Lepisosteus oculatus: one gene and its partners. The protein of the gene in region 1 purifies or fractionates together with the protein of each later gene. This does not show direct contact. Links are inferred from orthologs where the notes say so. Each region holds a gene or a part of one and is shown on either strand. Other genes may lie near its edges. The genes, in order: dnajc7, vps13c, mlf2 and ift122.

The links.
Region 2: the proteins of dnajc7 (region 1) and vps13c purify together in Homo sapiens (co-immunoprecipitation; 4 studies listed by BioGRID and IntAct, counting the BioPlex papers as one, with this or other methods). This does not show direct contact. The link is inferred for Lepisosteus oculatus from reciprocal best matches to the Homo sapiens genes DNAJC7 and VPS13C.
Region 3: the proteins of dnajc7 (region 1) and mlf2 purify together in Homo sapiens (affinity purification with mass spectrometry; 3 studies listed by BioGRID and IntAct, with this or other methods). This does not show direct contact. The link is inferred for Lepisosteus oculatus from reciprocal best matches to the Homo sapiens genes DNAJC7 and MLF2.
Region 4: the proteins of dnajc7 (region 1) and ift122 purify together in Homo sapiens (co-immunoprecipitation; 3 studies listed by BioGRID and IntAct, counting the BioPlex papers as one, with this or other methods). This does not show direct contact. The link is inferred for Lepisosteus oculatus from reciprocal best matches to the Homo sapiens genes DNAJC7 and IFT122.

What each region holds. Positions count from the first base shown.
Region 1 is NC_090723.1:5,515,941-5,522,820, forward strand, and holds the start of dnajc7 (dnaJ homolog subfamily C member 7), read left to right. Parts: upstream 1-3,880; 5' UTR 3,881-3,917; coding exon 3,918-3,988; intron 3,989-6,880. Other genes in the region: nkiras2 (NF-kappa-B inhibitor-interacting Ras-like protein 2), read right to left, coding at 311-552, 1,425-1,518. UniProt on the Homo sapiens protein: Acts as a co-chaperone regulating the molecular chaperones HSP70 and HSP90 in folding of steroid receptors, such as the glucocorticoid receptor and the progesterone receptor.
Region 2 is NC_090700.1:57,745,071-57,752,966, forward strand, and holds the start of vps13c (intermembrane lipid transfer protein VPS13C), read left to right. Parts: upstream 1-4,882; 5' UTR 4,883-5,059; coding exon 5,060-5,159; intron 5,160-7,896. Other genes in the region: c2cd4a (C2 calcium-dependent domain-containing protein 4A), read left to right, coding at 1,681-3,021. UniProt on the Homo sapiens protein: Mediates the transfer of lipids between membranes at organelle contact sites. Necessary for proper mitochondrial function and maintenance of mitochondrial transmembrane potential.
Region 3 is NC_090718.1:3,191,924-3,199,620, forward strand, and holds the start of mlf2 (myeloid leukemia factor 2), read left to right. Parts: upstream 1-4,685; 5' UTR 4,686-4,704; intron 4,705-4,784; exon of another isoform or gene 4,785-5,004; intron 5,005-5,401; 5' UTR 5,402-5,422; coding exon 5,423-5,466; intron 5,467-7,697.
Region 4 is NC_090699.1:55,798,474-55,805,602, reverse strand, and holds the start of ift122 (intraflagellar transport protein 122 homolog), read left to right. Parts: upstream 1-4,114; 5' UTR 4,115-4,240; coding exon 4,241-4,299; intron 4,300-4,718; exon of another isoform or gene 4,719-4,851; coding exon of another isoform or gene 4,852-4,859; intron 4,860-5,056; coding exon 5,057-5,123; intron 5,124-5,361; coding exon 5,362-5,446; intron 5,447-5,575; coding exon 5,576-5,654; intron 5,655-6,729; coding exon 6,730-6,806; intron 6,807-7,057; coding exon 7,058-7,124; intron 7,125-7,129. Other genes in the region: mbd4 (methyl-CpG-binding domain protein 4), read right to left, coding at 1-37, 1,039-1,188, 1,332-1,466, 1,551-1,622, 1,844-2,814, 3,241-3,450, 3,845-3,906. UniProt on the Homo sapiens protein: As a component of the IFT complex A (IFT-A), a complex required for retrograde ciliary transport and entry into cilia of G protein-coupled receptors (GPCRs), it is required in ciliogenesis and ciliary protein trafficking.

The DNA of each region.
Region 1 (6,880 bases):
AAGAGGAGGCCTAAATCGTTGACTGACCCAAGGATCTTATCCAGCTGTGACTTGAAGAAAGCCAGAGTACTGTCTTCACCAACAAGGCAGAGGTTTGTGTTCCAGAAACTCAAACCCTTGGCCTGTAAGTGTTTCCTATTAAAAACCTTAAATAAACCTTTGTTTCTGCTGTGTTCTCTGCTTTGTGGTTTTTTTTTTCCTGTTTATCTTGAAGACATACAACTGAAAGCATGAGCATACCAACTGGCTCCCTATGCAAGGGCAAAGCTACTGCATCCATCACATACAAAGGGACAGGTGAGGGTCATACCTCCTTCTTGTCCCTGTGCCTGTCAATGTCCTTCTTGAGGGCCTCCACGCGTCGGAAGGACTCCTTGCTGTCGATGCTGTACACCAGCACAAAGCCATCGGCAAAGGTGTAGTAGTGGCGAGGAAACTCCATGCCCTCCCTCAGCCCGCGGGTGTCGTAGAAGCGCACCTGCTCCCGGACCCCGCGGTCCGTCTCAATGGACCCGATGTAAATATCTTCAAGAGTCTCCATGGGCTCGGAGCCTGCACGGACAGACAGAGTGGTTCTTTCATTGCCGTCGCAATTATTATTATGGTTTTTAGCTACACCCAGCCAGTCTGAAACCTACAGCTGTTTCCGTGTATCGCCACTCACTGCAAAGATTCCTCTACTGTGCACAGGGAGGGATGAGGAAAGGCGGACGAGCTGACCACTCTACAAGAGCCACCATGCCTGACGGCAGGGCTGGTCTGGAGGGGAGGAGAGGCATCTCTCTGTGACATCACAAAGAGTCACAAGAGCTACCCCTGGCATTGCTCTGCCAGTTATGTGACTCCAGTGGTGAGATTTTGGTTACAGTCAGTTGATGATATGATCATTACAGTTACAGGTAATCGCAATGAAAATGAAAACAAAAATCACATTGAAATGTCTTTTCTTTGAACAGGGCACAGAAATATATAGAAAATATGTTTTTGAGGTTCAAGAAAATAATTATTTGGGAATTGCAACAATAGAATGAGTCATTACAGTGAACCTGAAGTTTGATAATAAAGAATATAAGAATATAAAAATGTTTACTAATCATAGGAGACCACTTGGCTCATCTAGCTGCATTACTACTAGGCACAAGGATCTCTTCCGTTTTCCAGAAAGGATCCAGAGGATTAGCTTAAACAAAACTACTGCGAGTCTTAATACTCTCACAACGCATCGTGTAAAAATTGTCTCCTGTTCTTGGTTTTAAATGCTCTTCCCCGGAGTTTTCACCTGTGTCCTCCGGTTTGAGCTCTCGATTTTGAACAAGCCCACTGCGCTGACTTTGTTAATTCCCTGGGGGGTTTTGAAAACTTGATTCAAGGTCCCGAGACAGAATTTGTGAAAATCCCCGACAGACCAGGTCGCGGTTACTTACCGACGACATGGTTGGCGTACAGCACATGTTCCAGCACAGCGGTTTTACCGACGCTGGCCAGTCCGCACACCACGACCTTACAGCTCTTTCCCATAGTCCGCTGGCGTCTACACGATATCAACAAAACAAGAAAAAAAATTTCAACAAAGCCCCATCCTCTCCTTTTTTTCGGATCGGTATGACTTGCTCGTTCTAGATTAGCCATCTGCATTAGCGGTAAACATTGATCTTTTTGTCTCTATTTAAGACCTTTTACACGCGGTTATTGTAAATGTCAAATACACGAGCACTGCGCTAGCTTTCAGCACCGTCTTCAGCATGTCTCCCAGCCTCGATCTACGTAGAAACGGTCACATTTCTTTTCGTTTTCAAGACGATACTGCTATAACGAGACGGGCCCAACCTGTTGAATTTTGAAAAGCTGCCGCCAGTCTCGGAAAAGAGATGTAACACTGCCGGCTTCCACCACAATCTTACATTACACCAGGAACACGGTGCACCACTGTGTAAAGCGGAGTGGCTGTACTTTATTCTCCATTCCTAAACCAGGAATAAGTGGCTTTCTGACAGCGAATGCACGGAACAGCTATCGTCCATTTAATAAGAGCAACTAGACGAGGAGCTACAATACAGAACTGCACACTGCGTTATTTCAGATGGATGTATTTCAGGCGCCGTTGAAAAATACAGTTTTGCAGGCAAGCAGTTCTCTTTATTACATCTTCCTGACTTTTACAACATAAAAGTAAGAGTCAAAACGCTCCCCAGCAAATTTCTCTTGATATTCCCAGAGATTAAATAGTACTGCATAAACCAGTGCAATTAAGTTTAAAAGAGGTTGCATTTATTACATCTTAACTGAAACATCATTTCAGGGTAAAATTTCATCATTTCACAAAAAGTGATGTAAAATAACCACGGCCAAGCTATAAAACACCGCGACGGGGAAAAAAGCGCGCTTACACTCGTTTAAAAACACATTTTAAAAAGGAACAAAAATGCAAAACTATATTAAAATAATTGAAAATACTGTACTGTTAAAGTGCAGAGGCAGACAACCGCGGCGATTTCCTGTTTACAATTTGCGTAGGCACTAACCCAACCCACAGGCTGCGAATCGATGGGCTGGTTACAGGAGCAACCTGGGATCGTAACCAAGAGCGACCCCTGTCGACCGGAGGGCGTTACGATTTCTAGCGGAATTTGTGATTGTGCGCAGGTTATAACAAATCCAATCATTTTTATATATAAGCTTCAATAATAATAATAATAATAATAATAATAACCAGCAGCCGTGTCACCCAGCAACTCACAACTGGCAGCCCACTGAAGCTCAGCAGGTGTGAGCCTGGTCAGTACCTGGATGGGAGACTCCTGGGAAAAACTAAGGCTGCTGCTGGAAGAGGTGTTAGTGGGGCCAGCAGGGGGCGCTCACCCTGAGGTCTGTGTGGGTCCTAAAGCCCCAGTATAGTGATGGGGACACTATACTGAAAAAAGCTGCCATCCATCAGATGAGATGTCAAATCAAGGTCCTGACTTTCTGTGGTCATTAAAAATCCCAGGGCGTTTCTCGAAAAGAGTAGGGGTGTAACCCCAGCGTACTGGCCAAACTTCTCATTGGCCCTTACCAGTCATAGCCTCCTAATAATCCCCATCTCTGAACTGGCTTCATCGCTCTGCTCTCCTCCCCACTGAGAGCTGGTGTGTGGGGAGCGTTCTGGCGCACTATGGCTGCCGTCGCATCATCCAGGTGGGGCTGCACACTGGTGGGGGTGGAGGCGATCCCCATTACCTGTAAAGCGCTTTGAGTGGAGTGTCCAGAAAAGTGCTATATAAGTGTAATTATTATTATTATTATTATTATTATTATTATTATTATTATTACTACACAACAGGTACAAGGCAGGGTCACCCTGGACGGGACACAAGTCCATCACAAGAGACACACAGATACTCGCTCACACCAGGGCCAATTTCCCCAGAAGCCAACAAGTCTGCCAGTACTTCTGTGGCCTGTGGGGGGAAACTGGAGCACCCAGAGGAAACCTACACGAACAGGGGAGAACATACAAACTCCACAGGAACTGAACCCAGGCACCAATGCTAACCACTGTTCTTAAGCGTCGCCTGGAAACCGTTCCTACCCTACGGAATTTCACATTTTATTTTCGTCATGGTTTTCATAGAGTTTTAGTCATGTTTGCCCTGATCTGGTGTCGGTTGGTGACGGCTGTTATGCTGTATTGTTGTGTTGGACTCCGAACACAGCTCCACCGGCGGATAATCAAGTCTGAATCTGAAGGGATGTTGGAGCCTGGCGCCGCCACTGGAGGCGCTGTTTGCGCCTTTTCACGTCGGCGTGTAGCGGCCGTGCGGGCTCGACTCTCTCCCTCCCAAAAAGGAGAGGAAATGGGTCTTTGCCGCAGGCCGCTCTAGCGCTCGGTGATTTCTACGGTTCCCGGAAGTGTCTGTCTTCTCTTCCCCGGCAGTAACATGGACGCTGTTGACTGCGATGTGATCATGGATCCAGAGCCGCAAATAATGAACGAAGAGGAGCTGGCGAGGTACAACGTGGATATTTATTTCAGTCGGTAGTCGCTAGCGCCGTGACGCTCTTGGGGATAGACCGTACATTAACAGATAAGGCTCGTATGTGGTTCTTGAGCCAAGTTTTGCCGGACTGCTTGAGGCCTACACCCTAGGACGCGGGCATGGGGATCCGTCCCGGTGTCTCTTCAGCGAGACCCGGTCAGCCGCCGGGGTTGGAAATCTGCTTTCAGCGGCCGTCTTTTACACAAGAATAAAAACAACGGCGTTGTCTACGCAGTCCGAGATGTAAACAATTATTTGAATAAAACAACAAAGGAAACCCGACATTTCCGCGAAGGTGTTTTGAGTGGCGTTACATAGTCGTCTTGATAAAACGAATCATTTGTTATTAAATAAATCGGATAGTTTTAGGTCAGGTTGTTGTATACGTCTTTGGCAAGTATTGGATTTTCCAGTGCTAGCCGGTCTCGTTTCGTTATAAAAAGGGGGAAATGGGTCACTTTGTGTAATTCGTTCTGTCGTCTCCCACAATATCTGAGTGAAATTACCTGGAGGTGTTGAAGGCCTCAAATACGTTTCTTTAGACGTGTAGCTGGAAATACACATGAAATAAACTCCTCTGGCAAGCGCGGCTGTCTTGACAGTTAATAAGAGCGACAGCACAGAGCGACCGAGTGAGACAACAGTGTTGTTTGTGCGCCCTGCTTGTAGTTGTGCTGTCGTTTGTGTATCAGCGGTGCCTCTTCCTTCTGCGGAGAAGTAATTCACTTTGTTTGAACCCGGAAAGTCGGGTCCCCGAGTAGAATGATCTCTTCCATGTGCTGTCTTCATTTTAGGTAACACGGTAGCAACTGGAATCGCGATATTCCAGTTTGTAGATTGGCATGTTTTTATTGGTGGCATCCGTCGAGTATTTGTTGTAGAGGAGTCATTGAAAGGAATTTCCGGCAACGGGACTTGGGATCTGCAGACTCTTCCTTTATAAACTCCCATACAGTCAATACATTATGACTTTTTTCTAGTTCGGGAACTGTATCAATGGGACACCGCCGTCCTGTCCCAGTAGCTGCACGCCGTGGTTGTCCGGCTGGTCAGCGCAGCGGGCGAGGGACAGCTCCGGGAATGATGAGATGGGGGTGGGGAGTCTGTAGAGGTCGGCTCTCACCAGCCTAAAATCGAAAGCCTGACAGCTGAAACAAAACCGAAACCGATTTTAAGTGGACCTTATTTCCGCTGGCTCCAGGCGGACGTCAGATTGACTGCAGCACACGAATCAACCCGGGAATACAGCGTCACTCCAAAAAAGCACGGAACACCGATCCTGCGCTTAAATCGTTTAAGTAGTTTTTACATTGCGGGTACGAAAAGCAAACCCAGGATCCTCACTGTGGGTGGCGAAGGTGCGCTTCAGAGTCCTTGCCCAATCATACTACCCAGCACTGAGTGAATCGAAGTACCTGAAGAAACGCACTCTGCTCTTTCCCTGTGATATGCTATATTATGGCAGGAAGATGTATTAAGTCACTATGTGTTTCTGTGCATTATTCCTCTTATATGGTATAGATACATGCCTTGGCAATGACTGGCACCGTCCCACTCTGACAGAACGTAATAGATTCTTCTGTCTCGTTTTGTTGTTGTGCTCATACTTGTATTTAGTGTGACATAGGCATAGGAATTGTGCCAACAGGAAAAGCCTGATGGAAAAACATCAATTACAGTTCAAGACGGGAATCCGATCATATCTTCTTTACTCAGTAATCGCTGTGGAACAGAATCAATCAGTAGTGGAATTTAGTGTCTCACTTGTGGCCTTCGGAAACCATAGATCTGGCTCAGGGTCATCCTTTGTTTTTAGGGCTTCCAGGGTTTGTTTCTTTTGTTTGGTGAGGTCTTGCTGCTGTACTGAAAAATGGACAAGCTGGAGGAAGACTTGGGGTAGAGAAGGAGGTGTCAGTTCCAGACTCCATGATGCAAAGAGATCTTCTCAGTGAAGAGATGCTGTGACAAAAGCGACAGATTCGTTATCAGATCAGGGATGTTAGTGTTTCATATATTGCCTCTCCATTTGGAGAAACGTTTCAGAAAGCTTTGCAGTGACATAGTGGTGTCACAAATGGGGCATTTTTTGTTCCAGGCTTCAAGCCAGTGTGAGCCACTGTAGTGTGTGATTTATACAGTGTTTCTCTATTGTAACTGTCATAGAATGCCACTGTTTGCCTTTATTTTTTTTTAAAAGGCAGTGGTTTGGAATTTGGTGTAGTGCTTGAGCACTTGAGTGTTGGTACAACGAGCCTGTATCTTTTGACTCTTCATGCAGAATTATCTATTCATTTCGATTCATATCTATATTCATTACTGTGTAAAGTTAACCAGCCATCCGACACTTCACATGGTGTAAATATAGCTGCACAGCATGGCTTAAGAGGAGCACTTCAATATGGACCTCTAGCACCATTGCACTACAAATAGCTCCTGTAAATTGTGATATGCGGTTCAGTATCTATGCTTGAAAATTATGCTCTCACTTGCATTTCACAGTACTGTCCTTAGAAATCTTATATAATTTGACCTTGGCCTGTCTGAGCTGCATAATACTTGCCCAGGTTTGCTTTGATGTTGCGCAGGGCAGTTTAGAGATAAATAGTTCTGGATCGCTTTAGAGCGAGGTCTCGGTTCTTTCTGTAATGATGCTGCGCCTCTAGATGATGAAGGAGAGTGCGTTTAATTTTCAGCAGTAATCTCAGAGCTTCCTCAGGCTAGCTCGTGACACAGTACAGTGCCAATACAGTGCATGTTTGTTCCAGAGAGGTGACCTATATTTCAATTGATACAGTGCACCAAGGGACTGGTGGCCTGGAAGAAGGAAAAAAAACAGTTATGGATGGAGGGTAGAGTGACTATTG
Region 2 (7,896 bases), on another chromosome or scaffold:
AAAAAGATGGAGTAGAGATGAGAAAGATGACTGGAGCTGGATGGGACATGAGGCTGAATAACATCTTTCTATTGTAGGCAGGTATGACTCATACCTTGTCAGGAGCTTAGGAACGAACCACACATATTGGGGATCAGAGGAGCTGTTAGAATTGATTAAAATAAGTTATGGAGTCAACTACTGAAGAATAATTTAGAGAAAAGTCATTTTAACTGCATACTGTACATTAAGGATTGTTTTGCATGATCATTAATAGAAATGAACTGATTTATAAATGCAAAACAGTTGCACATTTCATACATTATACAGTATATATTTTTGTAGATATTCAAAGTGACTTGCAGGCAGTAATTTGTCCTTACAGTGCATAACACAGTAGAATGTTACATAAATGCTAATTTCTACATAAATAGTAGAAGTTTTTTGGTAATTTTACACTTCATGGTTTTTACTTCAAACAAAAACACATGCATAGATGCACACAAAAGCAGGCAAGTACTTTAAAAATTTGATGTTTTTTAAATGACAGTTCAGGCTACTCGATCAACAGAATATATTACTGTGGATACTCATTAAAAGTCTTCACCTGCTGGTACATGTGCAGGCCTTTGACAGTACTGTCATGCAGCTCACAACATGAGAGAGTTATGACTGAGCCAGCAACATTAAACATACTGTATAGGATTTTGACTACTTGGATGACATGCCCTGATCCAAGAATTCAAAATCCTGAAAGACCTTTACAAAGTTATTCTAGCCACGTTGTTGAAGGCAGAACTCGGGATTCTAGGAAGCAAAGACTGGATGAGATCCTCTGATGAATGAACTACTGTATCAAAAGAGCTAGATGAACCAGATAGTCACCCCATGTTTGTAACCTTACTTACAGTACATATACCTCCAGTACCTGTTAGTTCTTATAAACCTGCTGCTGGAGGAATTAATACATCACTTACATTTTGACCCAGATAATCTCACTCCGGTGTGCACATTCACGAAAATGGAAAAACAAATAAGCGAATTAAATGTTCTCATTGTATCGAAAAACTTTTTGATTATTCTGTTACGAGCAGTTTACCTTCTCCATCGCTTATCTGTTTAACCTTTTTTTTTCATGAGGCATGCTCATGCCCGTGAAGAGTACTGTTGTGGTTTCACCATTTCCATGACTACAGTCTACTAGGAAAAGGGGGAGGGTCCTTCCAGAGCGTGCTCCTTCCTTCCACATGGGAGGTGCGCTTGAATGGGATTGGAGCCGCTCCAGACATCACAGCCCTATTTATACAGCCCGCAGCGCTCAGCACACCAGAAACCTGAGCAAGCCTGAAGTGGGGGAAGACCTGCAGCTGAGAAGCTCTCTGACAACACTGGACCATTTATGGTAATTCTTCAGCAAACCCGTCTTTAAAGACGCATTGCTGAATTTCTGAAATCTCTGAAGGTAAGCTTAAGACTTGGTTTTTGCTCATAAAGTTATGTTTATACATAAACCGATTCATTGTTTAATGTTATCATAGATTTTTGTAATAATGTGAATTCTTTTTTTACACATCAGCAAGACAGCTGTATAATTTCATATATGACACACGTCAGAATGCCAGCTATATATCAGCACTTATGCTCACAAGTTGTCTTCTGCTTTTACAGATTTGTGCGCTTCTTCTCTCTGATCTTTTGCCCATGTGGGTGATGGACAAAATCCGCGTGTCTGTGGAAAGAACAAGCCTGTCTCTCCCCATAACGGAATACAGTTTCAAAATCGGAGACATCATGTTTGGAGGAGATAAGATGTCGTCTGCGAAAAACAAAAAGATCTCCCTGTGCCCTAATATCATCACCCCCGACAGAATCCCCGAGTTCTGCATACCGCCGAAATTCCCCTCCCAGCAGGACCTCAAGACTGCTGAACTGAACAAACCCACTCCCAGCCTTAAGATTTCCTCTTCGGAAAAGGGCAGTCCTGGAAACGTTCCCCAGCACCGAGAACTGGTCAACACTCATGTGATCCAGGTGGAAAGTGTGGACGAGATGCCCTTTGACTATGGATACAGTGACGAAGAGAGCACCAATGCTGATCCACAGTCCCAAGCTGCACTGTCCTTGCCCCATCTTGCAAAAGCCCAGACCTCCTATGGGTTTTGCACCTTGCTTGAAAGCCCACACACCAGGAGAAAAGAGTCTTTGTTCCACAACGATCCCGGCTCCTGTGGGATCCCAGTGGTACTTCCCAGAGGCAGGTCCAGCACGTACTCAAAAATCTCCTCGTCCACCTTCAGCCTGAACGCCATAACTTCCAGGCTCTCCCCCAGAAGTTTCAGCTTGAACAGGCAGGGCACATTGGACAGTGACACTGCTTCATCCACAGAGTCCTCCCCTTTCAGCTCTCCCATGTTAAACAGGTCTCCCCCTAAATCCTCTCTGTTCAAGGCACTGAGCCAGGAGAAGCTGCTGTCCAGGACTGTGAAGAAATCAACAGTGTGCAGGAACAATTCTTTGTCAACAGACGAGGGGAGTTCAACAGACAACAGCCCAAATATCTTGAGAAGAGCATCTGAGGGCTTGATAGACCCCATGCCCTGTCCCTATGGCTTGACCCCCCCTGCAATTTTCCCAATGGACCTAGTGTACTACAGGGATAGATTCATGAAAGAAAGCCTCATACCCCTGGGGAAAAATGGGACCCTAAGACTTTCTGCTGAGTATAGCCCAGAGAATCAGAGGCTCCGTGTGCGCTTGATCAGTGCAGAAGGACTGTATGCCTTGTCCGTGGATCCCAAAAGCATCAACTGCAGTGTCAGCATCTCTCTTCTGCCGGGAAAAATCCAGAAGCAGCGCAGCACTGTGATCCGGAAAAGCCGGAACCCTATTTTCAACGAGGACTTTTTCTTTGATGGAATTTCTGAAGAAGAGCTGTCTTACAGGTCTCTCAGGTTTAAAGTTGTTAACAAAATGTCAAGTATGAAAAGAGATTATGTTTTGGGAGACTGTGAGCTCCCTCTGAGCAGCATTTCACCTGCATAATGATTCTACAGGACACCTTTTTTACTATTTATATGTATATACAGCAAAAAGTGTTATTTATTTATACTTTTATACTTTGCTAAATGCTGGTTTGATATTAAATGGCAATTTTGAAAAACATGCTCAGGTGTTGGGTGGTTCTTTTTTCCTCATACCGATACAGAACAGCTACTGTATTAGAAACAAAGTAACAAAATACTTTCACGATAAATGTCTGTATTCATCTTTATGTCCTTGTCCTTTAAACAGTTTGTGAGCCACATACAGTAAACCTACAAATAGAAAAATACAGTCTAAACAAGGCTATTGTGTATTATACCTGACTACAGCACAAGTTGATCCTTGTCAAAGAAAACATCAGCACCCTCAGAGATCCAGGTCTCCTTTATTGCAGGCAAGCTTGATTCATATATTCATTTACTAATTGTAAAAACAAATCTATTTCTTTCTTCTGTAAAGAGCAAGTCATTTAGGGGGTTCCTTCTTAAAGAAGTACTGAAACTGCTTTAGTTTCATTCAAGTAACAGCTGTAAATCCTACAGGTATAATTCCAGATATACATATCCCAGTGCTTTCAAAAGCTCTTTAACAAATTAAAAAGGTTATGTAGAATAGTAAACAAAATAGGTAAATGTGATGTATTTTTATTGTGATGTGAGGAATACACTTACTGTGTTCAGAATTTTGAATCTTTATATATGAATAGTAATATTCCTAATTCTTGTATTCCAGTTTTAGTTGAATACTAATTTAAATCTGATACATTTTGAAAGTGATTTGATATGAATCATTAGGCACTCTTCTACTAGTACTGTACGAGCATTTTAACATCAGGATCAGAAAGAGATTATCAAGAGTCGCCTTTACAATCTGTAAACAATGAGATGGAAAATCGGGAGATCGTAGTGTAGAAGTTCCCACTGGAACAACGTAAACGTGTTACCTGTAGGTGTGTTGGAATTCCGTCTAAATAAAATAAAAGTTCTATCCACAAATTATTTTAACTAAAATAAATAGTATTCATAGTAAAAATATTAGCATTCAGCAGAAGCAAAAATTACACTAATGATGTTAAAAATCCAGTGTCCGAACTGAACAGGAACTACAGGAGGGTGCACTTTTATAAAACACGTTCCAGTTTTCGGTATGGAAGTGATCATGTCTTTGAAACAGTATACCAAGAAACAGCTCTGCAAGCCTTCAGCGGTTTTAAAAGAGCCGTAAACACGTTGAACAACTGAAAGGTGTGCATGAATATTCAGTCAGCTACAGTGAGAACTGTCTTCAGGTGTACTGTATATATTAATTTACACGGCTATGCCTTCTCAACAAACTACTAACAAACTTTAGTAGTTTCGACGAGTAACATAAAGTGCACACATTTAAAGATTGTAAGAAGTAAGCAGGAAATCAAGCGTATAGGATGTTATATTTTCCTCTTCTTAAACTGATATTCTTTCCAAGGTTACATATTTACAGAACATAAAGTATCACAGCATAACACTTGAATTGAATATACGAAACAACCACATCTGATAAAAGATTAATTTTAGATAAGTGCCAGCTCTTTCGCTGTTAATTGCTTAAATATATATTATTACATCATATATTAAAATATTTCTAAGTCATTAATTACTTCTCATTTACCTGGGTTCACACTAAGATATCTTATTGCAGTGACTATAAGCGCCATAAATGTATTAGCTTAAAACTCTTAATCGTTTTCATTTAACTTGTCAAACCTTTGCAAACAGCTCGATGACAGTCGGTTCAAAGGTCAGGGTGACCACTGCACCCGCAGGCTGAATTACCGTAATACCGCTGCGGTCACACTGATTGACTGCATCCGCAGACGGTGTCCGCCGCCAGTATACTGTACAGCTCAGGCAAAACCAGTTGATTACAGAAAATCCTACCCTTTCGGTTTAGCACTTGTACTACAAAAGGGATGAGCCAGGCATCACGGGATTGTGCTGCTCACACTGCATCGAGACAGCTGCTTCTTTAAGACGGAGGCAGGGTGCACCGCTGTTTAACCATGGTGTTTGAGTCTCTGGTCAGCGATTTATTAAACAGGTTTATAGGCGACTATGTGGAAAATCTTGACAAGTCTCAGCTGAAGATTGGCATTTGGGGAGGTAGGATTCTGCGTGCATGTTAACGTTTTCACTGCTTTGTAGCTATTGCTATTAAGACGGAATCAGGAAAGTAACTCTCATGGTTCAGGGCCAAAACATGTCAGTCTCGACAGTTGTAGCCAACTGAGCGAACAAGAGTGTATTACAAAACACATCACATGACGAGCGAAAATGCCTAAGTCTTAAGTTTGCAGTATGTTGATTTATTCAACGCAGTACAGATGTGTTGATTGTCGCATTTGAGGTGTACAGTATACGGTTACCCAGCTGTGTACACGTCCATAATTAATGTTTACACTGCTGTGTGTGGGAGGGGGGGTGCTGTACACAGTGTACGAGCCCAGCAAGGTTTGTGTTTTTCAGTGTCTTGATGAATGCTAACGTCGCCTCTCAATCAGAATCAACGCCTCTGAAGGAGTCTTTAGCATGTGAGAGATAAGCCACAAGTGAGATTTGATAATACTCTTCTCTACTTGTTTATAAATAATGCTAAATGAGAAACTGAAATATCCTGGGCGGTCTGCGTTTTTTGGCATCCAAATATTAAGAAACCTCTTATTTCTAATTAAAATATAATTCATTTTACTTCATTTTATGGTGTATAACTTGGGTGGAGTGGTGGCACTGTGGCTAAGAGGCTGTGCCTGTGGCTGGAAGCTTGCCAGTTCAAATCCTGTGGCCAGCAGAGGAATCCTGAGCAAGGCCCTTAACCCTAACTGCTCCAGGGCAAGTGATCTTGTCTTGACTTATTTTTGAAGAGTGGAATTGTCCACAGTTCTTTTGGAGCCGACAGCATTTTCTTTTTTGCTCTCACTTATGTGACAAAACCAGTTTGAGATGAAGACAAAGCTTCTAATGAATTATTTTTGTGCAGAAAACGTAATGATAGATGATGTCAATATGATATGTGTTTGAGAGTTTAATCCTGCAAATAGGATTTAATAGCAGCCAATATAACCAGGTGGATAACTGGGCAGTATTTCTAGACTTAGTTTTTCTGCTTTTTCCTAAAGAAGTTTGGATATATCGATGTACTTAATGTACAGTATATAAAAGATGGCAAAAGGCAAAATTTTAAGACCATTCATACGATGTTGTAGTGTCTGAAATATCTATCAAGACAGTATTTTGTGACATTGTCCATAAAATATTTGTCATCTGTTATTCTTTGTCTAATACAATAGAATGGCATTCAGTTGAATAATATATGTTTGGGGATGGACTCTAGTGTTGCATTTGTTTCTCAAGGCTTTAGAAAGGCCTGAGTAGAGTAGTTTCATGGGAGGAGCTTAATTCTTGGAAGCCAAGCACGTGTTTCTAAAATTGCCTTTTGCCATGTTCTGCCACAATAAAAAGGTGCCCAAAATTGTGACCCGTTTCCCTGTGAGACAGTAACTCCGTTTCAAGCACATTAATGTGCAGAGACACACCTGACATTGCTGATGTTCATGGGTGTTTCAGTGTCATGGATAATGACGTATAACTAGACAGTGGTAAAACAATCATTATTCTTCTTTTCCTTCACATGGATTGTATTATACAGATATTCTTTAAACATTTTCAGGTCCGGTCATGGAGGCCAGTTTTAAAATGTTGGTTGCTAGCTATTTCTCCTCAGTTATTAACCTCCTACAAGAATCCCATTGAAACAGTCATTTTGTTGGCAAAAATGTTAACTTCAGGTACTGAGTATCTTCATTCTTCTTTCTCCACTTCAGTAATGAAATGACTCAGTCAACCACAGTATAACAGTATACTGTTTTCTTTATTCTACTACTGAATTCTTGTACTTTTAATTAACTCCTACAGTAGTGAAAATGAATGTTGCACAGTGGAGCTTTTAGAGGAAGAACGTCTACAGTGTATTGCATAAATCCCTAGATAAACTAGACTGGTTTGTCTTGTTATGCTGTACATTGACAGAGCTACAGTACAGTACATTAAGAGTAAGAATGTTGTCTAGTATGTCATTGACTTTTCTTAGGGAAGATGTGTTTCATTCCCTTTTCTGATTCTGTAAATTGGTTTAAATTATTGAAGACAATTCTGTAAAACAAGAAAGAAGAAAGAAAAATCTACCACAAATTCACCCAGGTCTCCACTGGTCATGTCTTTTGAAACAGCTCTTACCTCATCATTATTTGTGTTGCTTTCACAATCTGTGCATGGTTGAAATCGGGTCTAAATCATTAACTTGGGTTCTGCCCACCCATTATCTTCTAATTGCTAATGCCACAGTTTTGTTTTGGTCTAAAAAGTTAAACAAAATATCCCTATTAGTGTTGCTTAAAGTAAAGCACTTGGTGAACTCAGAGAAGTCTTGTCTTTTGCTTTTATTAAGCTTGTTATATTCTCTACCTTCACAGTGATTAGCAATAACCATGGACACCAGAAACCTGTGTGGACAATTTTCTTTACAAATTAACATGATTCTAACCTTGTCATTGTCTAATAGTGATTGCCCACAGATTAAAATGTCCTCATTAATTAAGCAACTATTAACTTGTTAGTTAATATTTATTCCTCTAGTACAAGGTTTTATTCATCTGTGCACAATGAAGATGCAACAGTCTTTAAAGGTTTATTTCAGAAGTTGATTGGACACATGCATAATGTTATTGTCATTTTTAAATAGCGTGCAGAAAGGTTTTGTGATTGTATGATTAGCTTCATCCCTTGGGATAACAAAATACCAGTCTCAATGTTTGATTTCTGAGTTAATATTATCAGAATAGGT
Region 3 (7,697 bases), on another chromosome or scaffold:
TGCGTGCACGGCTTAATTATGGAGTATCTTCACGGGGAATCGACGATGTCGTCAAAGCGGACTTGTTCAAAATGCCGAAGTGAAAGGGGAAACTCCGTGGAAATGCATTTAAAAGAGGGAACAGGGGGAGGGGAGGCGCTTTCTTTCCACACACAAGGGATGCGGGAGCAGGGAACAGAGCCAAGCTGCGGAAGCCAATATCCTGGCTCCGCTTCAAGTCTGGACTGGGCGAAAGGCTCATATCCAGTCGTTACCAAGGACAAAACGGGCTAGACAGGTCGGATAGTGTCCTGTTTGTAAGCCTTCTCATGTCCTCTGCCGCGCAGGCAGGAACCCGTAGCGCGGGGTCCCCGTCACTATGGAGGCTAGTGACTGCACCGCCGGTAGGACCAGCCCGGCCTGGCCCCTCACAGAGCCGCTGGGGTCGCGGTCGCCGCCGCAGGCCGGTTCCGGCTGCTCTCTGGCCCTGCGGGCGGAACCAAGCCGAGGTCGCGCTCGCGCCCCTGCCGGTTGCCGTCACAACCCAACTTCTCGAGTGACCACTTCCGCGAGGAGGGGGAGCGCGCAGGCGCGCGCGCGCGCGCCCCGGCCCGGCCCAATGCGCCGGCAGTGCGGAAATACGGAGCAAGAAATGTCTCAAGAATAAGAGTCAATACTAAAAAAGAAAAACCACCACCACAAGTGGAGAAAGAGACATTTCAACTCGGCCCACTCCCAGGTCGAGATGTACCAGCACTTCCCCTAACTTCAGACCTCCAGCGACAACAGTAGTGAAAGTGGAGTTACTGCTAAAAACACCAGTACCGTCAAGCAAAACGTCCTACTCACTGCAGTTAAAATCTCGGTTGAGTTTTTAAGATGGATCAGAGTCCGAACCGAGTTAACAGCCCGTGTTAACGTGTTAGCCGAGCTGAGATGCCATTATCACAGGTTTGGTTCAGAATTAGACGATGCAGGCGCCGCGGTTACCCTACAGTCGTTGCACGCTCAAACCCAATGCTAACTGTGCACGTTATAAACTCGAACGACATCATCGAGCGCTGAATCACTGAACGTCAAACTTTTAGCAGCCTTTCGATACCAACCAGTCCTGCAACTGAAAGGTATCCCAGCACTGGCGAATATAACAATCGCGGCCGAAATTAAGACCGGTGACTTTCTACCCAGGTGAACGCGGCTTGTCAAATGCAGCTCTTCATATCTCCTTAGATGAAAGTTTGTTGTTCTTTTTTTTTTTTTTAATATATAGATAAATACATCAAAAATGTCCCCCCAAACTCACCCGCTTTCCTGCTCCAATATTAGGCGTTGGTCACATCCGGGTTCTCGAAGTCGACGCGCCACGAGAGGGCGTTCCCATGGCGATCGCTCCGAGCTCCGCGCTCCGCGCTCCGCACTCCCCGGCCTCGCCCCGCCCCTACCCGTGCGTGTGTGCCTGTGGAGGCGCTCGGGTCTCCCCTAAATACCGAGAGCCACCCTCACGCACACAGCCGTACCAGTAATTCTCCTCCGACTGGTTTTTAACCTTTTCCATACTAAAAGCGTTATTGCTTAGTAAGGTAACTCCCCATAAGGATGCTTGATTGTTTAAGGAAGTGGGGGCTGAGCAAGACAACACTCACCGATTTTGTACCGTAATACGATTGAGAGTCTCCTGACCGGAGGTATTACGTTGTGGTATGGTCGAGCCACAGTACAGGACAGAAAAGCCACACAGAGGGTTGTAAGGTCCGCGCAGAAAATCACTGGGACTGAGCTACCCTCCATCAACCGGATATATCTCGACCAGTGCCACAACCGGGCTCGAACTATACTCCGGGACCCAATTCACCCTGGCCACGATCTGTTTTCACCCCTGGGTTCCGGTAGGAGGTATCGCAATATCAGAACACTGACAACTAGATTCAAAAACAGTTTCTTCCCCCAAGCAGTCCGCATCATAAACAGCTCAAATTAGCAGCCACACATATTAGCACCTGCACTTTAAGGAACTGCACTGTTTGTGCTATGTTCTGTCTTGGCTGTATTATAACGTCTGTTGTCTGAATTTATTGTCAATGTCTGTTTGTCATTTGTGCCTATTTTTTTCTCTCTCTCTCCTGTTACTGGGTCCCACTGAACGAGTAAGCATTCCAATATGCTTGTTGTATGGCAAATAAAAAAATAATAATCTTGATTCTGAAACACAGAAATTGGGTACTTTTGGAGAGGCGGCGTTAAAATGGCCAGTTCGGACAGGCACGGATTTGACGCAGCAGAGAACTTGGCACTAGTTAGAGGAACTGAGCGGAAACGCTGCTAACTTGATACGCATTGCTATTAAATTACTCCATTGTGACACAACCTTACTGTCCAAATAAAGAAGCGAGCTGCCTGGAGTAATTTAACATTACTGAACGAATGATCATTTCCAATTATTAACATGATGCTCGTCGGCAGATGACGATCAATGCAGTTGATTGATGGGATCACCCTCACATCTCACCCTGACTCCCCAATTTAAGAAATGCTCCTTGGCATTTGTACTGTGTCCCTTTCCACTTTAAACCCTAACAAACAGCTGATGTATTGGTAGGAACCTTTCAAGAGGTCTTGGTACATTAGGTAAAGACTGAACATAAGATGAACAGGAAGTGTAAAAGAGGGACAAGTGCAAAATAATGAAAAAAAGACTAAAAAACATACCCACATATTTTTCACTTCTTACAGGTAACTGGCAAGGTCGTATTCACTCGCTTAGGTAACTGATCGATACTTTCAGCTTGGCAAAAGCCAAACATTCCTTTTCGTCCACTTCAGCGGCAGACCAATGGCAACCATTTAACTGGCAGGTCTGGGTTTGATGAATATAAATCTGAACGGAAGGTATTCATCTCATTACGGAGCTGGATCTGCTACCAAGACTAATACTATGATTGGTTTTGTTATGTCAAAAGTGCTAACAAGTTCTGCCGCTATTCAGATGGTGGTTGTTCTTTAATTCAGCCACTAGACTTTATTCCTTTCAAGTTTGAATGTGATTTATAAATTTACACAGCTCATTTATAGCGGGGCAAGAAGGAAGCAGAGCACAAAGAATTAGCCAGAAACAAGGCTTGCATTTGATTAACCATTCGGTTCATGGCTACTTTAACCCATGTATAGTGCATATTTTCCACACAGTTGGGGCTGGCGGCCGCAATCCAGTTAGATGTATAGCTGTTTGATTTAAACGACATGGAACATCAGTATCAGTGAGTTGTAAAAAAACCCAACTACATCTCAGTTCAGTTACAGAAATAATCCTTCATCAGAATGAGTTGGGCACAAGTCCTCGAAAACTTTCACGATTCATTATACAGTAGGAAATTGAATGATTTTTATCCTGATCAGTGGAAACTCTGAGCTCACTTGATATAAACCTAGTCACTCGAAGGGACTGCTTTTGGGATCTGAAACAAGAAGCTGAAATAGAAGAGGTAGTTCAGGACAGAGAAATGGAAGTTAAGAGTCTACACTATGACTAGTGGGGGTCTAGGTGGCTATGCAGTCAGAGCAGATTCCAGCTTTGTGTCAGTCACAGGTTAGCATACTGCTCTAAACTTAGTTCCTGCACAGACTGTTAAGTCCTAAATGTTTCATCTTTCTAAAACCAAAAGCTCTCAACCTGGGGTGGCACTGTGTTGTAGGGGTTAGAACTGCTGCCTCATACGACTAGGGCCCTGGGTTCGATTCCAGGGGACTTGGTGGGTTTCCTCCCACAGTCCAAAGACACGCAACACATCATTTGGTTGGAACCTTTGCAAGATTTTTACATGTATGCTTAAGATCTCCAACTTTTGTGTGACTTAAGAAACCCTCCAGTTAAAAGGCAACCCCCCTAGACGTGTAGGAGCTGGAAGCAAGGGGTTCAAATTAAATTTAAATTTAGTATCAGGTGTATTAAAAGGTCAATTATTTAACGGAGTGCTCCTGAAAGAAAACCCAGCAGGTGTGTGGTGGCCCCCAGATCCTAGGGTCCCTAGATTTGGGAACCCCAGCTCTGGATCTGCTTAGACAAAGCCTTTTTGGGTGTATTCCAGTTATCGTTCTCCATCAACATTTCAAAGACGTGCGTGCGTGCGTGCGTGACGTGCAATCAACAACACAACACCGGATTACTGTCACGTTGCGCCCTTCACGCCAGGAAACACTACAGTGCAATATTATATATATATATAAAGATCAATTACAACGCCCCCACTCAATAGAAATTGACAAACGAGCAAAAAGAAATCATTTAGACATTCAACAAATCCCCAAGGTACAATCATTCCTGACGTGACCTGCTAATTTCACAGACCGAAAGGAAAACCGACGTAACCTCCGGGAGAACATTAACATTTGGTTTAGTGACGGTTCTCTTACAGCTTTATAAAGCTAATTAATAGGGTCCTGAAAAAAAAAACCCAAACAAACCAAAAAGCTAGCTGCAAAGAATGCAAAACGGTCGGTCTCCGAAGTTTTCTTGAGCAGCTGTGACCATATTGATCGCGACTATTGGTGCGCCGCAGTGACGTCAGACGCCCCCCTTTCATTCGGCCCAGCTGAGTTGAGGCCTGGAGCTGCCATCAATTTAGTAATTAAAGAAAACGATTCTCCCAGACAAAACTCCCCCCCCACCCCCAGACATCGACACATATACCCTCCCGCAGACCTCTCGAGTGCGGCCAGGAGCAGCAAGAGGCAAGCAAAACCCCAAAAAATGATGCGCTCCACCCCAGTGTATTTAACCCCCCCTTCCTCCCTCCGGCATTGCTGTAGTCAGTTTTTGTCAACCCGGTCAGCCAGACGTCACGTCCGGTATTTTCGGGTTAGCGAAACAGGTCCTCGGTTTGTGTTGTGTCGGGTTTAAATCCCCGTTTTTTAGGGGGGGGGACAGACTTGCTTGGGACGCCGGGCGTCGTTTTCAATAACAGGGGGACTGGAGGTGTCGTTTTAGGGAAGGCTGACCGTGCGAATCGCCAGGGGAGCAGGTGCAATAAGGTGTAGTGTAGCTCGTTCCCGGAGACGGAGGAAGATTTCTTTTGTGAAGTCCACTTCCGCCGACGAGAATGTTGTTTTGCTTGTGGGATTTTCACCAGACGCGACGAAAAATTTAAAGCCACTTCCCATCAGGATTATATATATATACACACAGATATCCGTATCTAACAGAAGCGTTCAGTGCATGCAACCGGCAGTTAAAGCACAAAGAGGGGTTTCGGAATCGGTTCCTTTGTGCAAAACAGCGAAATATTTCGGTTTGTGATTCAAAACAGCCGTATGTATCGACTTAGATAGCGTCCATTGAGCTACCATTTTTTTTTATATAAATACGGTATAGAAACGGGCTTGCAGGCTTATCCCTGGTGGGAGACCCCAGTGTAATTTATCTTCACAGCGCTCGACACGACACAAAAAGATGTTCCGGTATTTGAGCGATGTGGACGAAAACCCTTTTGTGATGTGAGTATATGTCAACTGTCGTATTCTGGTTGTATAACCGTAGTTGCTCCTGTTATGAAATCGTTCGTTGTTGGTCTTCTTTTTTTTTTTTCCAGCGGACTTGATCAAAGCCGGTTTGTTTCGTTTCTGTTCTGTGGCTGCTGGCCTGTTGTATCGAATGGTTCTCGTCTACACAGCGGTTTTTAAATTTTAACCATGCCATGCCTATAGGTATGGACCTAAAAAGACGTGTTTTTTTTTCTTTACTGACCTCCGCCCGCTGTAGTTGGTTCTACTTTTAGACGTATAATTCCATCGTTGTTCAAGTCAATTGCACGTTTGGATCACTATGTTTCTAATACAACAGTGGGTGGTTAATAACGTTATCAGACAAACGCTGAGCCCCGATGACTGGACTTGATCAGTTAAGTGACTTTCATTGACATGGACGTGACTGACTGGACTGTCTTCACTAAGTTTGATTAGTTACCTGAATTCATACCCTTATGCCTGTTGACACTGAGAGTACACTTGTTCACTCGATGCTGTGCTGGACTGATGATACCGTGAGCCCAATTTAGTTATCACCTGAGATTACCAGACTCGCATTGACAGAGCCTGAAGTGTGATTTACTGAGTTTGGTTAGTCATCTCAAATCATAACTGGGCACCTCGCTTGCACTGACATCTGTGACTGCAGGCTGTACTGGCCTGACTTTACAGTGTGTTGGATTTGTTATGAATTTATACCATAATCTGACTTGCATTGACATTAATAGAGCAGTCTGAGGCTTTCCAGGCTGTACTATTTTGCCCTGTGCCAGAATGAACGCTGTCTGCCTTTTGAGATTGATCAGTTTTTATTGGAGTTATCATTGTTCATTCAGTAACGCTGATGACAGTGTGATTGGCTCTAGGCTTTGTTGAGATGTAGGGACTTTAAGATTAATTAGCTTGAATTATAACCAGACTCTCTGAAGCATCCCAGGGCTTTTATTTTACAAGGCTGTACTATTTTACTCTATAGCTTTTTTTAAATTACTGACTTGGGAATATGATGCAGTTTTGCATTTCTCTATCAATTTTTCTCTTTCTTTGTACATCTAGAGATGGATTTGTGCTCCTGTGAGCTCAATCTTTTCAGGCCAGATTCCCTACAGACATTAAAGAGTGGCTTGAAGTGTTAAGCGTGCATCTCCTTCTTCCTCATTAGCCAATTAAGGTTATTCAGATTTTGAATAGTGAGTACTGTACCATAGTATAAAATATCATCGAGTCCTGTATGATGGGGGAAAAACATGTGTTTAGTGTTGGTGATGTAGTAACAGACAAATAAGTTCTGGAACCCGTGATGACGTTTAAGTAACTGAGTTTATTGCATCCAAGGAACAATAAAACCAAAGTATAGTTTAAAATATATGTACAAAATGTCCAGTTTATATAGCAAATTTCAGCTGCTTCGGACGCAATTGTTACCATGGTAATGGGGCTGGGCACCTGTGTTTGGACATTCCCAAGACCTTTTCAAGACGTTTTATCTTTCCTTAGTTAGGGGGTCTTTATCTTGCACTTGGAATTTCATCTCGATTAACTCCCATCCCTGCCATAACTCAAGGGCGCCTAAGCATGGGATGTCTTGTGTTACAAGAGGTCTTTGTGCGGAAAGAAATCGGTTCACCCCCTTTTCACATCTTGTATCTTTCTTCAGTGATTTTCCAATTAAGGCAAAAATGAAGGTGAAAGAGATTGACGGAATGACAATGCGAGTCACTGTAGTGGTGAGACTACAGCGGCACCGCTTGAAGAAAAGGTGGAGGTCTTGCGTGTGGCTGACCTGAGTTCAGAGACGACCGCACCTGTGCAGCCTGAGCCAGCAGGGCTGCATCTGTACAGCAGGAGTGGTGTTGCCTCCCAGAGATTCAGTGGGTCTGTGTGTCAACACTGGGGGGGGGGGATATGTTAGCGCACTGGGAGAGCGTACCCAATGTTGACTTTGTCGTGTGCCATTATGGCTCATGAAGGGCCTGAGGCCTCAGGAAGGTGACCAGGGTGGCTTCTGCTCGAGCCTGAACAGTCTGGAAGTCACTGCTCCCAAATGCTTTGAGGAGTAAGCCTGGCAGAGGTTGTAGGCAGGAGCTGTAAACGGTATGTCCTGCTCTAGCAGAGCTCACTTGCTTGAAGAACAGTCATCCTGAGTAGATCTGCCGGAGAAACGGCAGAAATAGCATGTGTAGCATGTCGAAGGCACCCGG
Region 4 (7,129 bases), on another chromosome or scaffold:
TCGATGGGGTACTTCCAGTGTTTTGTTAAGTATTCATCTGCAATGGCAAGAATCTGAAATGTAAGCCTTTCGCACCTGTACAGAGTTCAAAGGCTTTACGAGAGCAAAGGTTTGTTCTCCTACAAGAGTCTGCTATCTAAGCAGGTGCAAAACCCCAGTCGGTCACATTGGTGCCAGTAGAGAACAGGATCAAAATGAGGTCACACACAAAACTGGAGAGAACTCTTTCAAGTATCATCAGAGACTTATACTGTGCTCTTTTTACCTTGTGTGTCTGCTGAAAAGTGAAAATTTCACATTGGTTTTCTAATACACAATGTACAGTAGATGGAGGGCTGATTATAAAATCATTTTGACTATGACTGATTGTGATGGGCAGGGTGAAATTAGATAAGCGTCATTATTACATCCTTTGTTAACCACAACATACAGTGGTTGTTATCCATAGTCTGTGGATAATAAGCAGAAACTCCCTATCACCCAATTATGACAGGGGTGGTGTGGTGTGTCTGTGGCTAAGGAAGTTGGGGTATGCGAAAATACAAATTCCTAATACAAGAAATTGCATATGGCCAATAAAGTGTTTTATCTTATCACAAAGTGAGCTTAGTGCACTACACTCCAAATACAACATACTTACTTCTGCAAATCGTATGATTACACTGATGAAAAGAAAAACATGGAAAAATAATCCTCAACATAATCAGAATATTATGAACATTCAGTTTTATGTAGTTCAGGACTATGGTGAAGAAATCCATCCTTACATCTGTTTTCTAACCGGTTCTTCTAGTTCAAAGTACCAGCACAGAAAGAGCTTACCCTGGCAAGCAACAGGCACAAGGCAGGGTACACCCTGGATGGGATGCCACCCCACCACAGGGCAGATAGGCACCAACACACACACGCATACAACTCACACCTAGGACTTGTTGAAGAAATCACTGTGACACACAAATTGCTTAACATACTGTAGCTACAGTATAGTGAGAAATACATAATTGCTTCTTTTTTGGTTTAAAACATTGTATCACTCACCTGAAAACCTCACAATTGTTTTGGCTCTGAGTTCATTGAGGCCCAGAGGTTTCAGCAGTTCAGCCATTTCTTTCCAGTCGCTGACACGGGCCACCTCAGGAGACGGGTAACGCCCAAAGAACTCCCACAGCACAGGGATTGCCATCTTACCTAAAAGAAAGAGTCTCTTTACTTTCAACTGACAGAAAGACAGAACTGAACCGCGCCCCACATCCGAACCTAGTATTTTAGGTTAGCTCTCTGTGAAGGGAATTGTCTCATTGTCCTGTTCTGTTTGAAGCCACAACTCTTACCGCTGGTTCTATTGAGGAAAATGGTGGCTATCAGAAGCTTCCAGGGATCATGGAAAAGAGTCTCCTGTACCAAGGCAAAAGGAGAGCGAGGCGGAGTCCATTTCTTAAAGGCCTTGCGTCTGGGTGGACTTGGAGCTAAGAAAAATAAAGTGAACATGTTTCATTTGGGAGAGTTGTCCTTTTTGTTCCTGGTAAAAGTTGAAAATGATGTTTCCTTACCTTCTCTGGCTAATTTTCCAGTGAAGTACTGGCTTGTTTTTCTTTTCTCTGACAGCATTTTTATGCCACAACCTGAAGGTAAACAAAACAGTACCAGATTCATTGATGGACTTGGACAATATTTCAATGTTTCTATCTAAGGTTTTCTTAAGCCTTCTCCTTTTGTAACTGAATATACTGTCTATTTTCATTGCAAAACATATCAGGCCACGATTCCTATTCGGTTTGGAGAAACCCCTCAATGTTCCCCAGAACGTTAAGAGCTATACTCAAAGATTTAACTTTATGCTTACTGCTTTGCTGCTGTTTCACTGATGTAAATGTCCCCGAGTCCCCCGGAGGAAGTGAATCACCATCTTCTAGCGCAGACTCAGTTTCAGGTCCGACAACAGCTTGCTGTGTCTCTGCAGCGTTCTTAGACACAGGCTGTAAGGCACTTTTCCCTGGGGCAGAGGCCTCAGGCTGGTCACACACCACTTCTCCCGACTCATTTTCACCTTCTGGGGAAAGTGCGAGCTCTGCTCCTTTATCCGCTTCACTTATCTGGGTCAGTCTGAGAAGCTTATCCTTTAAAAGTCCCTTTTCAGTCTCTTTTTGATCTCCAGTGTGGTTTGCAATTTGATTTTCTCCTCTTTCACCGCTCACAGTCAGTGCGTTTACGTCATTTACCTCACATTCCTGTGCCAGTCTGAGAAGCTTGTCTTTTAAAAGCCCCCCTTGAGTCTCTTTTTGGTCTCCAGTGTGGCGTTGACTTTGCCCTTCTTCCATTTCACTGCCCGGAGTCAGTTTATTTCCCCGTTTGCCCACTGCTCTTTCAGCACCGGCTTTTCTAACCCTACTGCTGGGATCCTTCCTCTGTTTCTGTCCTCTCTGTGGTCCTGCGGGAGTGAGCTTTGTCAGTGAGTGCCGACGTTTAGCCCTGGCTCTGCAACTTGTGCTTTCAGATTCTGAAGACTTGGATTTCTCAGCACAAGGCGCAGAAAAGACCCCGTCAGTGGCAGCATCATGTCCAGACAGCTCTTCTGACACACTGCTGGGTGACAAGTGTTCCTCTTCGGCTGTAATCTTAATGTCAGTTGTGCTGTCCAAGACGGTTTCTGAAAGTTGGAGAGCTTTCTTCTTTTTTGTCCTCTGAGGTTTTGTTAACTGTTTGTCCTTCCCAGGTACAGAGAAATCAAAATCTGCACCCTTGAGACAGAGTTCTTTGTTATTCTGAAGGTAGACATGGAGTGAAGCTCTTGATCTGAATTTCCCTCCCTGTGGACTGAGTACACCAAGTGTTAATTCCTTTGGTTCAAAACAAAATACGTCTCATATATATATATATTGTTCTCAGATCTGACTAACAGTTACAAAAACAACTGTACAAATGTATTTTTAAAAGCTTGTTTTTCTATATGGTAATGCATAGGGACCATTCTCTCAGACATGCAGACTGCAATAAACATGAGTAACAACATCTATGTACAGCAACAAGAAAATAGAACCTGAAGTGTTGTGCCTCTTTTTAACACAGGTTTGAGCATTGATGTAGATATAATTACTTTATAAACATTTGTAAAAACATTTTTTAGAGGATGTTATTGACCAATCATAATTGTTCATTTTCAAATGCCCTTGTGCTTATCTAAAATGGGGAAGATGTATTTGGGATCATATAGACACTTGTACTATATTTATAACCCAGTACCTGATGATATATACGTCTACTTTCCCTGCCGTTTTTCCAGATCGCCTCTGTTTCACCATTTTAACCCAGCCTGGCGGGACTCCGAGACAGCAGCAGGTCTCCATACACGAGTCGGGGCTGGGACTCTGCTTTGGTGCAGCTTTCTCTTGCTGGTCCTCATCTGACAAAGAGGGCTCTTCACACGCTATTGCTTCTGTGGTAGCAGTTTCACTAGGTTTGGAAACAAAACACACAAGTTTCCAAAATGTCTAGTTACAAAAATGTTGTCTATGAGACTAGGATAACCCCGTGCAATACTATAAATCCCTGTAACATACGGTATATAGTACCACAATTAGCTATTTAGTCACGAAACCTGCCTTTAAAATTAATACACATGCATTTCATAGCATGTCAACCAAAAATAAAATATATACAAAACGTTTTTACGAATATAGAAAATGTACTGAAAATGTGTTCTGCTTATGTTAAATTATAATGGCCATAGATAAGAAAAGCATAGGTACAATATAAGCAAACAATTAAACTCTGACTAACAGTATATATCATTAAAATAACTGGACTAATACAGCTTTTAGATCACTTAGCTGTTTTGCTTTCTTACCTGACAGTAGTTCTGCTATTAAGATCATCCATCCGTAAACGCGGTAACTCAAATTCATGCATAAACTGAATCCGTAAACGTAAAAACTAACACACAGTCATGCTGATTTAGATCAGTGTTCCATCGTTAAAATGCTACCGCTCGACGTATTAGAATTAAAAAGATGGAATTACAATAACTCTGCTTTGGAATAAAACCGTGATGCTTGACACTTTCCTGTATACTTCTCCTGTCGCACATGCGCAGACCGCTCAGCAAGCTACATGCAGTGTGCGCATGCCCAGTGTGACTCCGAGATGTAAACAGTGTGATTGCGGAAAGAAGTGGGTTCTCTACATTGTTAGTTTGCTTTGAGGAAGGAAAGTGTAGAGCAGCTCTTGCTAAAACAGAACCACGATGAGAGCCGTACCGACATGGATAGATAAAGTGCATGATCGGGATAAAGTAGAGCAATGGTAAGAAGGAGACGTTTTTAACCACGTATGGTCGCTTAGCGGCATCTGTAGGCCTGTTGCTAACACCGTTGGCTGTCGATAGCAACCATGGTTGCCAATGTAAACTGTGTGAGGAAAAATGTGTCACTTTAACATATGGTAAAAATATTAAACAACTACGTTGTTTTTGGAACTTTGTCATTATAAAATATTGAGTCATTTAAAGTCGTCGTGTTTATTTGCTTTCAGTTCATCCTAGGCATATGGCTTATTTTTAGCCAGTTACCATACTAAGCACTCAATTACTCTTGCATCTGATCGAATGAACGTGTGTATTTATTTAAATGTTTAAATTGTTGTGATTGTTTAAATTGCAATAACAATTGTGATTGTTTATACCCTGAGCTGACACATAACATGCATTCAAAGATAAATACTGTACACTGTGCAGGTTTCGCTGATCATATTTTTAAAATCATTGCTTTTCACTTGATTTTTTTCCCACTTACAGTAATAAAATATGACCAAATCAATCGCTTTCCCAAACTGAGGAACAATTTATCAAACGGACAGATGACATTGTTACGTTTCATTGAGTTTTTTGTCCTTCTTTTGACATTATGTAGAAAGACTCAAATATGTATGGTGATTGTGTTATGAAACATCCCACAAGGAGTTCTATCATAAACTAATTTAAAAAGTATACAACTATAGCTATAGTAGTATCACGAAGCAATAGTGCATTATTGTAACTATAAATCATTCTTCCCCTAAACAGTATTTACGACCTTGCGTTCAAGCCAGATGGGAGTCAACTTATAGTTGCTGCTGGAAATCGAGTTTTGGTACGTGCTTTTGGAAGTTGTGATGTATTTTGTGTAAAGATATATATATATATTATTTAAATACTCTTATACGAATATAGCATTTTTCGAAGACATATTTCGAAGAAATACTATGCCTTCGTATTTTTAACGTTTTACACTTTCAGCACCTTGAGTTTATTTTTCTGATTTTTTTTTAAATCTCAGGCAACTGTGGAATGTTCTTTGTGGAAATTAATTATTTTGTCTTGTGTTTTAGGTTTATGACACAGCTGATGGAACACTTATCCAGCCTCTAAAGGGGCACAAAGACACAGTATACTGTGTTGCCTATGCCAAAGATGGTCAGTTTTTAAAGCCTGCTTTGAAAAAAATGTTACTGTATATATGCTCTTCCCATACTAAATAAGTATCTTACATATACACAATAAGGTGTAGTAGCTTGACAAAATAACAATATATTTTTTTTCCAGGGAAGCGTTTTGCTTCAGGTTCAGCTGACAAAAGTATCATCATTTGGACTTCTAAGCTGGAGGGAATATTGAAGTATACGTAAGTAAAACATTTTAAAGTCCTCCTGAATTTGTTTTTTTATCTGCACCTTTACACTTGTTGATGTAATAATTTTACTTTTGAGAAGTAACAATCGTGACACAAAAAGCCAAATAAATGACCTTTTATGAAATTTCTTGTCTTATGAATTCCTGTGTACAATGGGCTCTTCAGTCAACTTTAAGGAATTATTTAATAATACCATTTAGAGTTCTCAACTGGGTTTTACAAGGGTTTAGCATGGGTGGTGATCTGGCCATTCCTAGTGAGGTCATTAATCCAGCCTCCATAGGAATGGGCAATAGTATGAATACAGGAATGTAAAGGAAGGGTTAGTAAGGAGAGGAAGAGGAAGAGACATCATTATCATCATGAGAAGCTTGTGCTGGGAGAGAGTGCGTCTTTCAAATTAGACTTGAAATCAGGTGTAGTCCAGGTAATTTTAATCCAGAAAGAGCAGCAGATTCTGAGCCATATTATTTAGGTGGTTTGTTGTTTTACTTGTTCAAGAAAATTGTTGTTTCATATATTGTGCAATCCTCAGTCTTAAACTGTCTTTTGTATTTTACTGATTTTAGAATAGGAAAATTGGCTCATCGAACTGTGAGCATCTGTTTAGAGAGGGCGATTTAGTGCTGGTTAGAATCCCTTTCGTTTAAAATGCAGGTTCTTTCTTTTTGGCCTGTTAAGGATAAAATTATTTGATTTTCTGTGCCTATATAAGGCAGAGCTCTGGAGCTTGCAGACATGTAAATATCCATTCATAGTAAAAACATTGTATGCTGTGCAATCTTGTGTGTTGTATAGTTCTGTTATTTGTTAGAAAATAAATTGTGTAAATTTGGGCCCAATTTCTATTCTTTTATGAGGATATGCCAGAGAATAGGTGCTGTGGAATGCTTGATAATCCCAGATTTAATTAGGTAAAATTACTGATCTTTAAAATTTACTTGTATAGCATCCTAGTACCAAGACCTGATTAATATTTGATTGTTATACTGAATTGATAACCTATTTTATCATTTTAAAATCATAGGTTGTAACAATTTGACAATTTGTTTTGTTTTTTAAATAGCCACAATGACTCCATCCAGTGCGTTTCATATAATCCAGTTACACATCAGCTGGCCTCCTGTTCGTCCAGTGATTTTGGTGAGTTGTTTTGTTAAGATATGTTTGTGTTAGTATAACCTTAGGGAAATAATTCCGGTAATCATTAGTGATCTCTCCGTACTTAAAACACAGATGCTTATCATTGACAGTTTGATAACTACAGCAGCTTCTTTACTGACTATGGAAAACAATAATATATTATGTGGAGTATTGATTTGATAAAACAGTGGTATTTTTGTAGAAAGTTGAGTAAACATTAACATGAATACTATATTGTATTACCTATTTAGGTTTGTGGTCTCCAGAACAAAAATCTGTCTCCAAACACAAAGTCAGCAATAAAATCACATGTTGTGGGTAAG